Linked DNA regions of Pelodiscus sinensis. The protein of the gene in region 1 purifies or fractionates together with the protein of each later gene. This does not show direct contact. Links are inferred from orthologs where the notes say so. Each region holds a gene or a part of one and is shown in the gene's direction. Other genes may lie near its edges.

Region 1 (3,744 bases):
CTTAAGGGGGGTTGTCCATGCAGTCCATTGGGGAAGGGCGTTGCACAGAAATGCAAACCTCACCAGGGCCCCTGCAGCCAGTTCGGCCCAGAGCTCTGCTCCTACAGGGTATGGGGAGCTGCAATGCAAGAAGCCGCGGGGCTGCGCAAACACACTGCAAGGGGGACAGGTGTCTGGCGTAACCTCCCCTTGCAGGACAGCCTCCCTTGGGGAGTGCATGGCGCCAGGGAGCCAGGCCATTGCAGAGGGGGAGCTAGGAGCGGCGTGGGGGGGTGGAAACAGAGCGCAGCCTTCTTGCAGGGTGAAACCCCCCTGGTGCTTTCAGTCAAGCAGCAGCCGCTCACGCTGTGAGCTCCCGGGGCCCCTGGTGTGTCGGCCGCCAGCGACAGGAGGACAGGGACTGCAGCGCCCCAGAAGAGCCACCTGTCGCCGACGGGGCAGAGGGGGACACGGTGGGAAGCCGTGAGCTTGGGGATCACCCCTGGCGGTGCAGGGCTGCGGAGCGTCCACACAGGTCGAATCCGGGCGCAGGGGACCCTGAGAATCAGGGGGGGTCAGGGTGGAGAGGGGGGAGGGGCCTGGGGGTACAGGGCAGGGATGGGGGGTGTCTAGGAGGGTGGGGGCATTTCTGGGAGAGAGGAGTGTGGGGCAAGGAGGGAGGAAGGGGGGGCTGTGGGGCGGTGCCTAGGAAGATGGGGTGGGTGGAGGAGGGGTGCAGAGCAGAGGGGGGAGGGGCAGGGTGGCTCTTCCAAGCACGCGGCTCGCGCAGCCAGAGCAGCTGCCTGGGAGGAAGGGAGGAGCGAGGCGGGATCCACTCTAGCCGGAGCCCCGCTGGGACTCTATGGTGAGAGCCGCGCGCACGCGCGCCCGGCCCTTCATGGGCGGCGTCTCTATGGCAGCGCGGGCCGGAAGGCGGAAGCGGGGGGGGGGCTCCGGCTTCCGGTGGGGGAGGCTCCGCGTGAGGTTCGCGCTGCGCAGGCGGGAAATTGCCCCCCGGAGAAGGGGGGGGCTTGTGGGGGGTCGGTGTCTGGGGTATGATGGGGGGGGCTGAGGTGTCGGGGGGGGGTGGATTTGGCGGCGGGGGGGGGGGGTCGTGCCGGGGGATGAGGCGGGGGGGGGGGCGGATCTCTCGTGGGAGGGGCAGTCCCTGGGCCAGGGGCTGCGGTGAAGTGTGTGTGTGTGTGGGGGGGGGGTAGATTTGGCGGGGTCTGTGGCTGGGGGGGGGAGGTTTGGCGGGGGGGGGGTCTGTTCCAGGGGTGGGGACCAGGATGGGGAGGCTCCTGTGTGCCCCTCCCCCCCCCCCGGGGTTCAGCCTCCTGCCCCTGGGGAGCCTTGTAAAGCTCAGCAGCAGCCCAAGCCCTGCTGGGCGACGCTCACTGTCTCTGCCCCCGTCGCTACTCCCCATGGGTTCAGTCACTCGGAGCTTCTGAGCCAGCTCCTTGCTGGGCTGCTTTACCCTGCTCGATGGAGTCATCTCTCTCCTCTCCTCCCCAGGTTCATCGCTGGTCTGACACTCACCCCAGCCGGGCATGCGGGACTCCGGAGGGGACTGAAGAGCTTCTTCGTCTCTGGAGAGCTCCCTGACTGAACCTAGTCTCCAGAGCTCTCCCACAGACCCTACCAGAGCGGGCGAGGTGGGGAGGGGCCGCCATGGCAGACACACTGGAGTTCAATGAAATATATCAGGAGGTGAAGGGGTCCATGGTGAGAGATGCATGAAACCTAGAAAACCGTGTCTTTGTGGGGATGGGTAACAAAGGGTCTGGGGAAGTGCCATTATTGTAGCTGGTGCAGTGGTGTGTCTGCTGTTGAGCCTGTGGTTCTGAACTGTGGTTCTGATTTCATTATGGCTCTTAAGCTAAGCCCAGTCACAGCTGGCATGATGCCTGAAAGGAAAGCCGAGAAGCTATGGGTGCCTTGAGGGGGGGCAGGAAGGAGGAGTGTGCTTTTTTTCCCTTTAGCCACTAGGGTGTAATAGTGTAGTCAATTAACTGACTAAGTAATAAGCAAAAGCTTATCGGTTAATGCTATAGACTACACGCATTTCTCCCCCCCTATCTAGCCAGTACATTTTTTAGCCTGATTCTGTCCTGACTCGTGCTGGGTCTGGGACCTACCTCTGCTGCGGCTCTGCATTTAAAGTATATTAAGAGCCAGGTGAGCAGGCAGCCCGGCTCAGTTCTGGCTCGCACCAAGTCCAGGACCTCAGCTGCCACCGGACAGGGATTGCTGCCACCCTGAGTTGCTGCCTCTATATCCAAAGCTGCAGCGCAGGGTGACAAGCAGCTAGTCCCCGAGGGGAGCTGATTTTTAAACTGTGTCCCCTCGCAGTCTAGTTCCTGCCTGGTACCCCGTGCTGCTGCCTCTGATACAGAAGCAGCAGCACGGAGTGGCCGGGGGCTACTTGGGAGTGGGACTGGAATGCACTGGCTGCCAGCCCCACCTGGGGACTAGAGAATAGTTGAGTAACCAATAAGAATTCGTGAGGTTAATCGACAATTCAGTTAACCGATATTTAACATCCCTACTGGTCACTATTCAGCTCCCAGATCAAGCAACATGCTAGGGGGTTCTGGGCTGTATCATTTTTATGAGACAAACCATAGCCAAGCCCTGGTAGGTATTAAAGATCCAGCGATCCTTTCTTGAGTGTAGTGGACTTGGCACCAGTTCCTGGCTGCATTCCTGCTCTGGTAGGTAATGCTCAGCTGAGCACAGTTCAAAGCCAGTTGTCTGCCCCATGAAGTTCTCCTTGCAGTTTGTTCTAAATTGTTGTGTGGTGTCACTTAAGGCTGTAAAGGGTTAACCAGTTACCTGGTAAATGTGCGCCTTACCGGCATGCTTATCAGGGTAGCCAGTTAACTGGTGGAGTGTGGCGGGCCCGGCCTGGCTGAAGCAGCCCCCCACTGTGGGATCATAGTTCACCAGTTACACATCGCGTTTGACTGGTTAACTTTTTAACCAGGAATTTGCATCCCTAGTGTCACCAAGTGCTGTGGGAAGTGAGGATTGGCTTAGCCTGAATGGCTGGAACCTGGGAGCCTTCCAGAAAATGCAGTGCAAGATCTTGATTCCCAGGCACCAGCATTTGCCAATTTCCAGCAGAGGTGCACGGTGCCCTGAGGTTTATAAATGAGCCTGTTTCCCGGCCAAGAAATCCAAATCTTTTGCTCTTGATAGTGTTGGTTATAACGGGGTTTGTGTCTACATCTATGAAGTGTCCTTGATTAAGCTATTGCTCGTAAGTGGCCAGTAAGTCTCCAAGAGAAAGCAAACGCAGGCTGTAGGGAGCTGATGTATGTTGCAGGGCTCGTGGTATGGACCTGTGAAGCATGAGGGGTAGCATGGTGAGCTTGGAGTGAAGCCTGTATGAGGGAGAGAGAGGGTGTTTGCAGTGGGTGTTAGTAGGATATGGTGTGTGTGCACCCCTGTGTGGGAGAGAAGAGATGATGGAATCTCCGTTTTATGTGCACGGGATCGGTGTGAAGTAACCTTTTCCCTGAAGGAGGAAGGGTGTTGCTGGCTGATGTCAGGCTCCCGATGTATCTTTAGCACCATTCCTGCATGTCACCGCGGTTCTTTTCCCCGGCATGTGCATTTTGCTCTTGGAGCGGTGTCCCTCACCAACCACTGTCTGTCTCTGTCAGAATGATGGGCGGCTGCGGCTGAGCCGCCAGGGCGTCATCTTCAAGAACAGCAAGACAGGCAAGGTGGACAACATCCAGGCCTCGGAGCTAGCAGAGG
Region 2 (3,744 bases), on another chromosome or scaffold:
TTGTTCCAACAATCTAATCCACTAGCAGCTCTCCCACCAAGCTGTCTTTCCCCCTCCATATTTCATTTGCCCCTGGAAGGGTATGTCTACACTACCCCGCTAGTTCGAACTAGCGGGGGTAATGTAGTCATCCGCAATTGCAAATGAAGCCCGGGATTTGAATTTCCCAGGCTTCATTTGCATGAAGCCGGTCGGCGCCATTTTTAAATGCCAGCTAGTTCGAACCCTGTGCCGCGCGGCTACACGCGGCACGGAGTAGCTAGTTCGAATTAGGCTTCCTAATCCGAACTAGCTGTACTCCACATTCCACGAGGGTTCGAACTAGCCTTGAGGTCTAGGGTGTGCAGGGTTTGGGGTGTGCACAGTGCCTTGAGGGTTAGGGGGTGCAGGGTTTGGGGTGTGCACAGTGCCTTGTGGGCTGGGGGTGCAGGGTTTGGGGTGTGCACAGTGCCTTGAGGGCTAGGGGGTGCAGGGTTTGGGGTGTGCACAGTGCCTTGAGGGTTAGGGGGTGCAGGGTTTGGGGTGTGCACAGTGCCTTGAGGGTTAGGGGGTGCAGGGTTTGGGGTGTGCACAGTGCCTTGTGGGCTGGGGGTGCAGGGTTTGGGGTGTGCACAGTGCCTTGAGGGCTGGGGGTGCAGGGTTTGGGGTGTGCACGGTGCCTTGAGGGCTAGGGGGTGCAGGGTTTGGGGTGTGCACAGTGCCTTGAGGGCTGGGGGTGCAGGGTTTGGGGTGTGCACGGTGCCTTGAGGGTTAGGGGGTGCAGGGTTTGGGGTGTGCACAGTGCCTTGAGGGTTAGGGGGTGCAGGGTTTGGGGTGTGCACGGTGCCTTGAGGGCTAGGGGGTGCAGGGTTTGGGGTGTGCACGGTGCCTTGAGGGCTAGGGGGTGCAGGGTTTGGGGTGTGCACGGTGCCTTGAGGGTTAGGGGGTGCAGGGTTTGGGGTGTGCACGGTGCCTTGAGGGTTAGGGGGTGCAGGGTTTGGGGTGTGCACGGTGCCTTGAGGGTTAGGGGGTGCAGGGTTTGGGGTGTGCACGGTGCCTTGAGGGCTGGGGGTGCAGGGTTTGGGGTGTGCACGGTGCCTTCAGGGCTAGGGGGTGCAGGGTTTGGGGTGTGCACAGTGCATTGAGGGCTATGGGGTGCAGGGTTTGGGGTGTGCACAGTGCATTGAGGGCTATGGGGTGCAGGGTTTGGGGTGTGCACAGTGCCTTCAGGGCTAGGGGGTGCAGGGTGCATTGTACTCGCTGGGGTGTGTGCATTGCCTTGTGGGCTATGTGCGCTCTGGGGCGGACGCAGGAGTCAGTGGGGTGCACGCAGTGCATTGTGGGCGGGGGGCTGTCCCATCCCGTGCCTGCAGTTCAAGTTGCGCGGCGGGGAGGCAGGGGGCGGTCCACTCCCGGCTTTGCGTCACACTCAGCGCTTCGCTCACAGACAGGCGCACGCATGCGCCGTCTACCCTCCCCCTTCACTCCCCCCTCAGTCGGCCGGACTCCTCCCCACCGCGAGGTTGCGCGTGCGCTCAGGGCCATGGAGCGGTTGGAGGCGGGGCCGGGCTCAGGGGAGGAGCCTACCCGGCGGTCCCCGCTCCTCCTTCTCCGCCGGAGGGGGCGTTGCCGGACGCGCTCGGCAGAGCCAGGGGGCGTGGCCTTGCTGACGAGCTCGAGCTCGAGCGGCAGCAGCGGGAGCGAGGAGGAGGCGGAGATCTGGTGGCGCGCGCAGCGGCGCGCGAAGGTGCCCAAAGTGCGCACGCTTCGCCCGGCGCGGCCTAGCTCTGCGCAGGCGCAAAAGCAGGCGGATGGTGTAGAGCGCACGCGCGGAGAGCCGTGGGGGCTACCGGCTCTCGCCGCCATGGAGCGGAAAGGTGAGTGGCGGGCGCTCTCTCCCGGCCCGGCGGGCCGCCTCCTCCTCCCTCCCCCCTCCCGCCGATACATGCGCGCGCGACCGCCCCTATCTCCCTCAGAGCAGCGCCCTCCGCCCCCTGGCCTGCCTGGCGCCCCCCCCCCCCCAGCCTTGCCCCTGAGGGGGTGTCGCCTGCCCCCCCCGCCGGCCGCGCGCCCCCCCTTCCGCCCCCGCTCATCCGCCTGCGTTTCTCTCCCCAGTTCTGGCCTTGCAGGCCCGCAAGAAGCGGACCAAAGCCAAGAAGGACAAGGCCCAGAAAAAGTGAGTCAGACCCCTTGGACAGTCGCGGGGGGGGGGGTCGATGTGGGGCGCGGGGGGCGCCCCCCCAGCCTGGACCGCTGAGTTTAGGCGAGGCCTGGATGGATCCATGCGGTGATGGGCTCCCCTTGGGACTGTGGGTGCGTGACATGCCCTCGGGCTATGGCTCTGGAGCATCCTCGCAGCTTCATCTGCTAACCTCGCCGCTGCCTTCCCTGACCCCTGCATAAGGTGGTTGAAATAACACCCCTTGATCTTTCTGCCTCGATCCCTTTCCTAGGCATCGCTAGGCTGCGCCTCAGTTTAACTCAAGTGCATTTTTAAAACTGATGTGGTTAAAGCAGTCTTCCTGTCTTAGAAAAAACAAAAGACAGGACTATGTAGCCCTTTAAAGACTAACGAGATGGTTTATTAGATGATGAGCTTAGTCCTGTGTTTTGTTTCAGCTACACCAGACTAACATGGCTACATTTCAATCACTGTTCTTGTCTTAGGAAACTATCTGTTGACTTTGATTTTTATTTGCTTAGGTTTAAGTACCCATTCTCCAGATACTTGATGCTCTGTCTCCCACCCCCCTCCCTTGTTCTTTCTCTCCCCCCTCCCTTTCCCCTCCTATTTATTTCAAGTTTTTATATCCCCAACTCATAACTCCGATTCTCTCAAGAAGTGGGCTGTACCCATGAAAGCTCATGGTACCACCTACATGTTTTGTTAGTCTATAAAGTGATACCAGACCATTAGTTGTTGTTTTTTCTGAAGCCCCTAATGTAGATGCACTTAAGATGACAGATAGGTTTTTTCAATGTGTTTTCAGCTATTAGAGTACTTTTCTGGTACAGATGAGGCCTTTGAATTGGTCTATGTTTGCACCCTTTGCAGGTGTTCCTGGCCCACACCGAGCTCTAGTCACTCTGTCTCCCCAAGTGGACTTCTTTGAAGGTCTCTTACATAGCTAGGCTCTGATTCTCTCTCTGGCTATCAGAGGGAGATGTGGTGGGCCTCTTACAGAAAATGGATTCCATCGTAGGAATAGAACTTCATCATTAGTATGTAATGAGCACCTTGCATCTTACGACATTTGATGGTAGGAGTCTTTGCCACCCTACTACCCAGTTTCTTCCAGGTGTAACAGCCTCTCCTTAGCACTAGCACCAGCACCTTCATCCCTCAGTCAGTCACATGACTTGTGTATTTGGAGGTGGTAAGGTTGCCATGGAACCTCTTTCACTGAGTCAAGGAACAGAAGGTTCTTCTAAACAGTTTGATTACTTAAGTTTTCCCTTTCACCATCTCTTTCTGTAGTTTACCTTTTATTTTTATGATTACGTTACAGTGTGTTTACCTTACTCTGTAGCTTTGACATCTTTCTGTGGTTTCTGTACCCATGTCAGGAATTTCATAAATAAATTGCCTTCATGATAAACTTTTGGATGGGTGTAAAGACTCTCTAAATCTGTGGTGTCCAGCTAGTTCTGAAGCAGTAGCTATTATAGTGGCTACTGCTATAGCGAACTAGTGACACTCAATTAGCTAAATAGTCACATGTGGTTAGTAGCTAGTGTGTTGGATACCACAGCTCTTAATGATTC
Region 3 (3,744 bases), on another chromosome or scaffold:
TCTTTCTTGCTTTTCTTTGACAAGAAGGTCAATCTATTTAAGAAAGGTTTTCAAGGCTTTGAATCATTGTGATTTTTTTTCTGGACACTTTAACGTATTTCAACAAATCCCATCTCTCCTCACTTCAAGGACCGAGCTTAATTTGTTTTTAAATGCTGCTAGTGTGGTATCACTGTAATGCAGTGATTCTTAAAGTGGTTGAAGACCCCATTTTAATTTCCTGGGACCCAAACCCCATAGCCTGGGGCCAAAGCATGAGGATTTCAGCCCTGGGTGGTGAAGCTCAGGGTTTCAGGTTTCCCACCTGGGGCTGAAGCTCTTGGGCTTTGTCTTTAACCTCCCGCCCCATCCAGGGCTGTTGGGCTTGGGATTCATCTTGGTCCCCTCACCTCCCTCCACCTAAGACAGTGGGGCTTTGGCTTTGATCCTCCTAGCCAGGATGGGGGACTTGGATTAGCTCAGGGTTCAATCCCCCCTGCTGGGGGCAGGTAGCAATTTTTGTTGTCAGAAATGCACAAGGAAGTCTGAGAACTCCTGCAGTAAGGAAAAGGCAAGGTAAAAAAACAGGGTTTTGCAGTTTCTCTAAGGTTGTGAGAAGTGGAAGAGTAGCTGCCTCTTCTCCAGTCTCCATCTGTACTTTGAAACCTCTTTGGCTGAGATGGCAGCTTCATTACAAGCTACAGCCAATCAGGCTCTCCCAGTTCCAGGATCAGCTCTAGAGTTCTAAAGCGGGGCTGTTGGGGATCCCAACTGTCACCTCAGCGGATGGTGAACAGTTTAGTTGTCCAGTCCTTGCAGTGCAGCAGCCAGAGCAAGGCTTTCTAGCTTCCACCCACCTAGCTGATAGTTACCTACCTCTTTTCCCTTGCTATCTCCTGCAGCTTCCTCTCCCCTCCCCTGCCATTGCCTGCACTAACCCTATTTTTCCCTGTCATGGCCTAACAACTATCCTACCTCTCCTGCCCAGTCAGCTGTCACCCATCCTCCCCTTTCCTGCCATTACCTACCATTACCTACCATTACCTACCATTACCTACCACCCACTCCTTCTGCCCAGGTAGCTGTCACTCATCCTTCCCTGCTGTTGCCCCCCTGCATACCCTCCACTTCTCTCCCCTCCCCTGCTGTCACCAGCAGCCTACTCTGCCCTTCCCACCCAGCCAGCTATCACCCACCTTCTCTTCACTTACCATCTACTCTTTTCTTTCTTGCCATCGCCCCTTGCCTACCCTTCAAGAGAGTTAGCAGCCAACAGGTATGTAACAAATATCTGACTCCAAATATTCACTCTGAAATGTTCTTTTGGCATTAATTACTGTTGTCTTAGGCTGTGCTAGGCTTCTGCTCTCCAGATTAATATAGCACAACAAGCAGGGAAATATTGTCTAACTTCCTCATTCTAGTTATTATAATAATCCAGCAACTCTTTTTAGTACCTATTTATGATACTTCCCCTTTGCTATCTTTGTTTCAATAAGCAAACAATACATTCTTACAAGTCCTTGAATGGCTTTGAAACTCATACCTCTAGTTAGTAAATACCTGGTAACACTATAAATGAAACCTTGTCTGTAAGCATTTGTGATGAAGATTTTAAAAGCTGTCACCACAATTGTCCCATGGTGCTAGCCGTGTAAGCAAAATCTATCTGGTAAATAACAGCAAGAAGTTGGAGTATGACAGAATATATATAATTTCTGAGGGTACAAAATGGCAGATAAATAGAGACAAGGGCCGTGTATACACATTAGGTATTCTTGTATACCATCACAAGTTGCGGGGACTCAAAAAAAGATTGGGGGATTCTAATGGATAATCAGCTGAATATGAACTTCCAATGTGATGCTGTGACTAAAAACAAGCTAATACAATTTTGGGATGCTGAACAGAGGAATCTTGAGTAGGAGTAGAGAGGGTAGTTAGCAATGTTGCAACTGCTGCTAGATTTACCAAGAAGGATATTGATATATTTGAGACAATTCATAAAAGAGCCATGAGAATGATTAAAGGATTAGAAACAAAGCCTTAGAGCAGGAGTGGTCAACCCATTATAGGCAAAGAGCCAAAATAGTTGTGCATATAGCACAAAGAGCCGGGGAAGCTGTCGAGCAATGAAAAAAAGAAGAAGCCCCCAGCCGCATTTGGTCAAGCGAAAAAAAAGGACTATCCCTTTAAGAAACGTGGTTAAAGGCTTTCTGGCCACATCAGGCTCCCACTGGACACTGCCATCTTGAAGATGCCATTTTGAATGGTCATATTGGATGGCTCTTCTGCCCCAGTGAGCACAGGGAGCCGGGAGACAGGAACCGTTTTCAGGAGTGCAGGGGCAGCTTCGCGAGCTGCACTTATATGGGGGGGAGCCGAATGCATTTCGCGAGCTGCTAGTTGGCCATGGCTGCCTTAGAGCGACAGACTCAAGGAACACACTCTATTTATCTAAAAGAGAAAGTAATGAAGTGATTTGCTTATAGTCTATACATATCTACATGAAGGATACATTTAATATATGAGCTCTTCAAGGTAGCAGGGAAAGGTATAACAATATCTAGTGGTTGGCAGTGAAGCTAGATGAATTCAAACTGGAAGTAAGGCATGAATTTTGAACAGTTTGAATACTTCACAACTGGAAGTTTACCAAGGGTTGTGGTCAATGTTTCCTCTAATCTTTTCCATCCAAGTGCAGAATATATTCTTTTATGTGAACCAAGGCATGTGTGAATTCACACCCCCAGTAGAAATAAAACCTAGCTATGGGCTGTTAATCAGCTGGATGGCATTTAAATCACTCCTGAGCAGTCGCAAAAGCACACAACTAACAGGCAACTCTACTTAGGTTCTCCACCAGTGATAAATTTTAAATTATTTTTTTTAAAAGATCGAGTCATTATTTTGAGGGATTTCTGTGACCTGTGTTATTCAGGAAGTCAGATTTTACAATCACAATAGTTCCTGCTGGCCTTAACATATAATGAATCTAGCCTTGCAGTGTACAAAGCAGGATATACTGGATGGAATTCTGGAATCAGAGTTTTGTTTTTTTTGGCAAAGAAATGGCTGTTGAATGGAATATATATAATATGTACAACACAACAGAAACATTATGCATGTAGTATATTATCTGGAAATACCTGGACTTTAAATCAACAATACTGAGAATGTAATAGTTATTGACAAATATTTAATCCCTGTGATTTCTCCCTCCCCCCCCATGTTTAATAACATTAAATAAATGGTCCAATAATAGTCTCACTTCATCAGTCCCATGAAGATGAGAACAGCTGGAGTGAGAGCAAAAAATCTTCCAGTAGTGTAGGCTTCCATGTCTCAGGAAGAGCATGCCACTGTCTTTCTTAGTGCATATAAACCCAGAAATGGCGTGGGAACGATCACCTTCCTGTTTTAGTGTGAGGTTACTTACAAACCTGGAAGGAAACAAACGGATAGGAACCATTTTAAACTTGTTCTTAAGGTTCGTGGTAGAAGCCAAATCGAGCCAAGATTTTTAAAATAAGCCAGGTTCACGGTGGCCCCAAGAAAGATCTGACCAAAGTTAGAGAAGATTGCAACTACTTACATCTGGGACACTGCAGATATAAGTTTCCACTGCTGACTGATGCCGGTAGCAGGCCCAACAGTGAATGACCCTTGGCTTCACCCTGCCTGCTTTCTGCCTCTCACCCTTAGTTGCTATGCCGCCCAGCGTCCGCCACCTTCTCCTTTGCTCCCTGTCAGGCCGCCACTTTA

What was found.
Region 2: the proteins of SSRP1 (region 1) and SRPK1 fractionate together in Homo sapiens (co-fractionation; 3 studies listed by BioGRID and IntAct, with this or other methods). This does not show direct contact. The link is inferred for Pelodiscus sinensis from reciprocal best matches to the Homo sapiens genes SSRP1 and SRPK1.
Region 3: the proteins of SSRP1 (region 1) and CHD1 purify together in Homo sapiens (affinity purification with mass spectrometry; 3 studies listed by BioGRID and IntAct, with this or other methods). This does not show direct contact. The link is inferred for Pelodiscus sinensis from reciprocal best matches to the Homo sapiens genes SSRP1 and CHD1.

What each region holds. Positions count from the first base shown.
Region 1 is NC_134714.1:128,209,587-128,213,330, reverse strand, and holds the start of SSRP1 (FACT complex subunit SSRP1), read left to right. Parts: upstream 1-818; 5' UTR 819-963; intron 964-1,494; 5' UTR 1,495-1,650; coding exon 1,651-1,704; intron 1,705-3,647; coding exon 3,648-3,744. UniProt on the Homo sapiens protein: Component of the FACT complex, a general chromatin factor that acts to reorganize nucleosomes. The FACT complex is involved in multiple processes that require DNA as a template such as mRNA elongation, DNA replication and DNA repair.
Region 2 is NC_134737.1:12,827,864-12,831,607, reverse strand, and holds the start of SRPK1 (SRSF protein kinase 1), read left to right. Parts: upstream 1-1,470; 5' UTR 1,471-1,522; coding exon 1,523-1,856; intron 1,857-2,094; coding exon 2,095-2,155; intron 2,156-3,744. UniProt on the Homo sapiens protein: Serine/arginine-rich protein-specific kinase which specifically phosphorylates its substrates at serine residues located in regions rich in arginine/serine dipeptides, known as RS domains and is involved in the phosphorylation of SR splicing factors and the regulation of splicing.
Region 3 is NC_134716.1:69,217,845-69,221,588, forward strand, and holds the start of CHD1 (chromodomain-helicase-DNA-binding protein 1), read left to right. Parts: upstream 1-1,236; 5' UTR 1,237-1,255; intron 1,256-3,744. UniProt on the Homo sapiens protein: ATP-dependent chromatin-remodeling factor which functions as substrate recognition component of the transcription regulatory histone acetylation (HAT) complex SAGA. Regulates polymerase II transcription.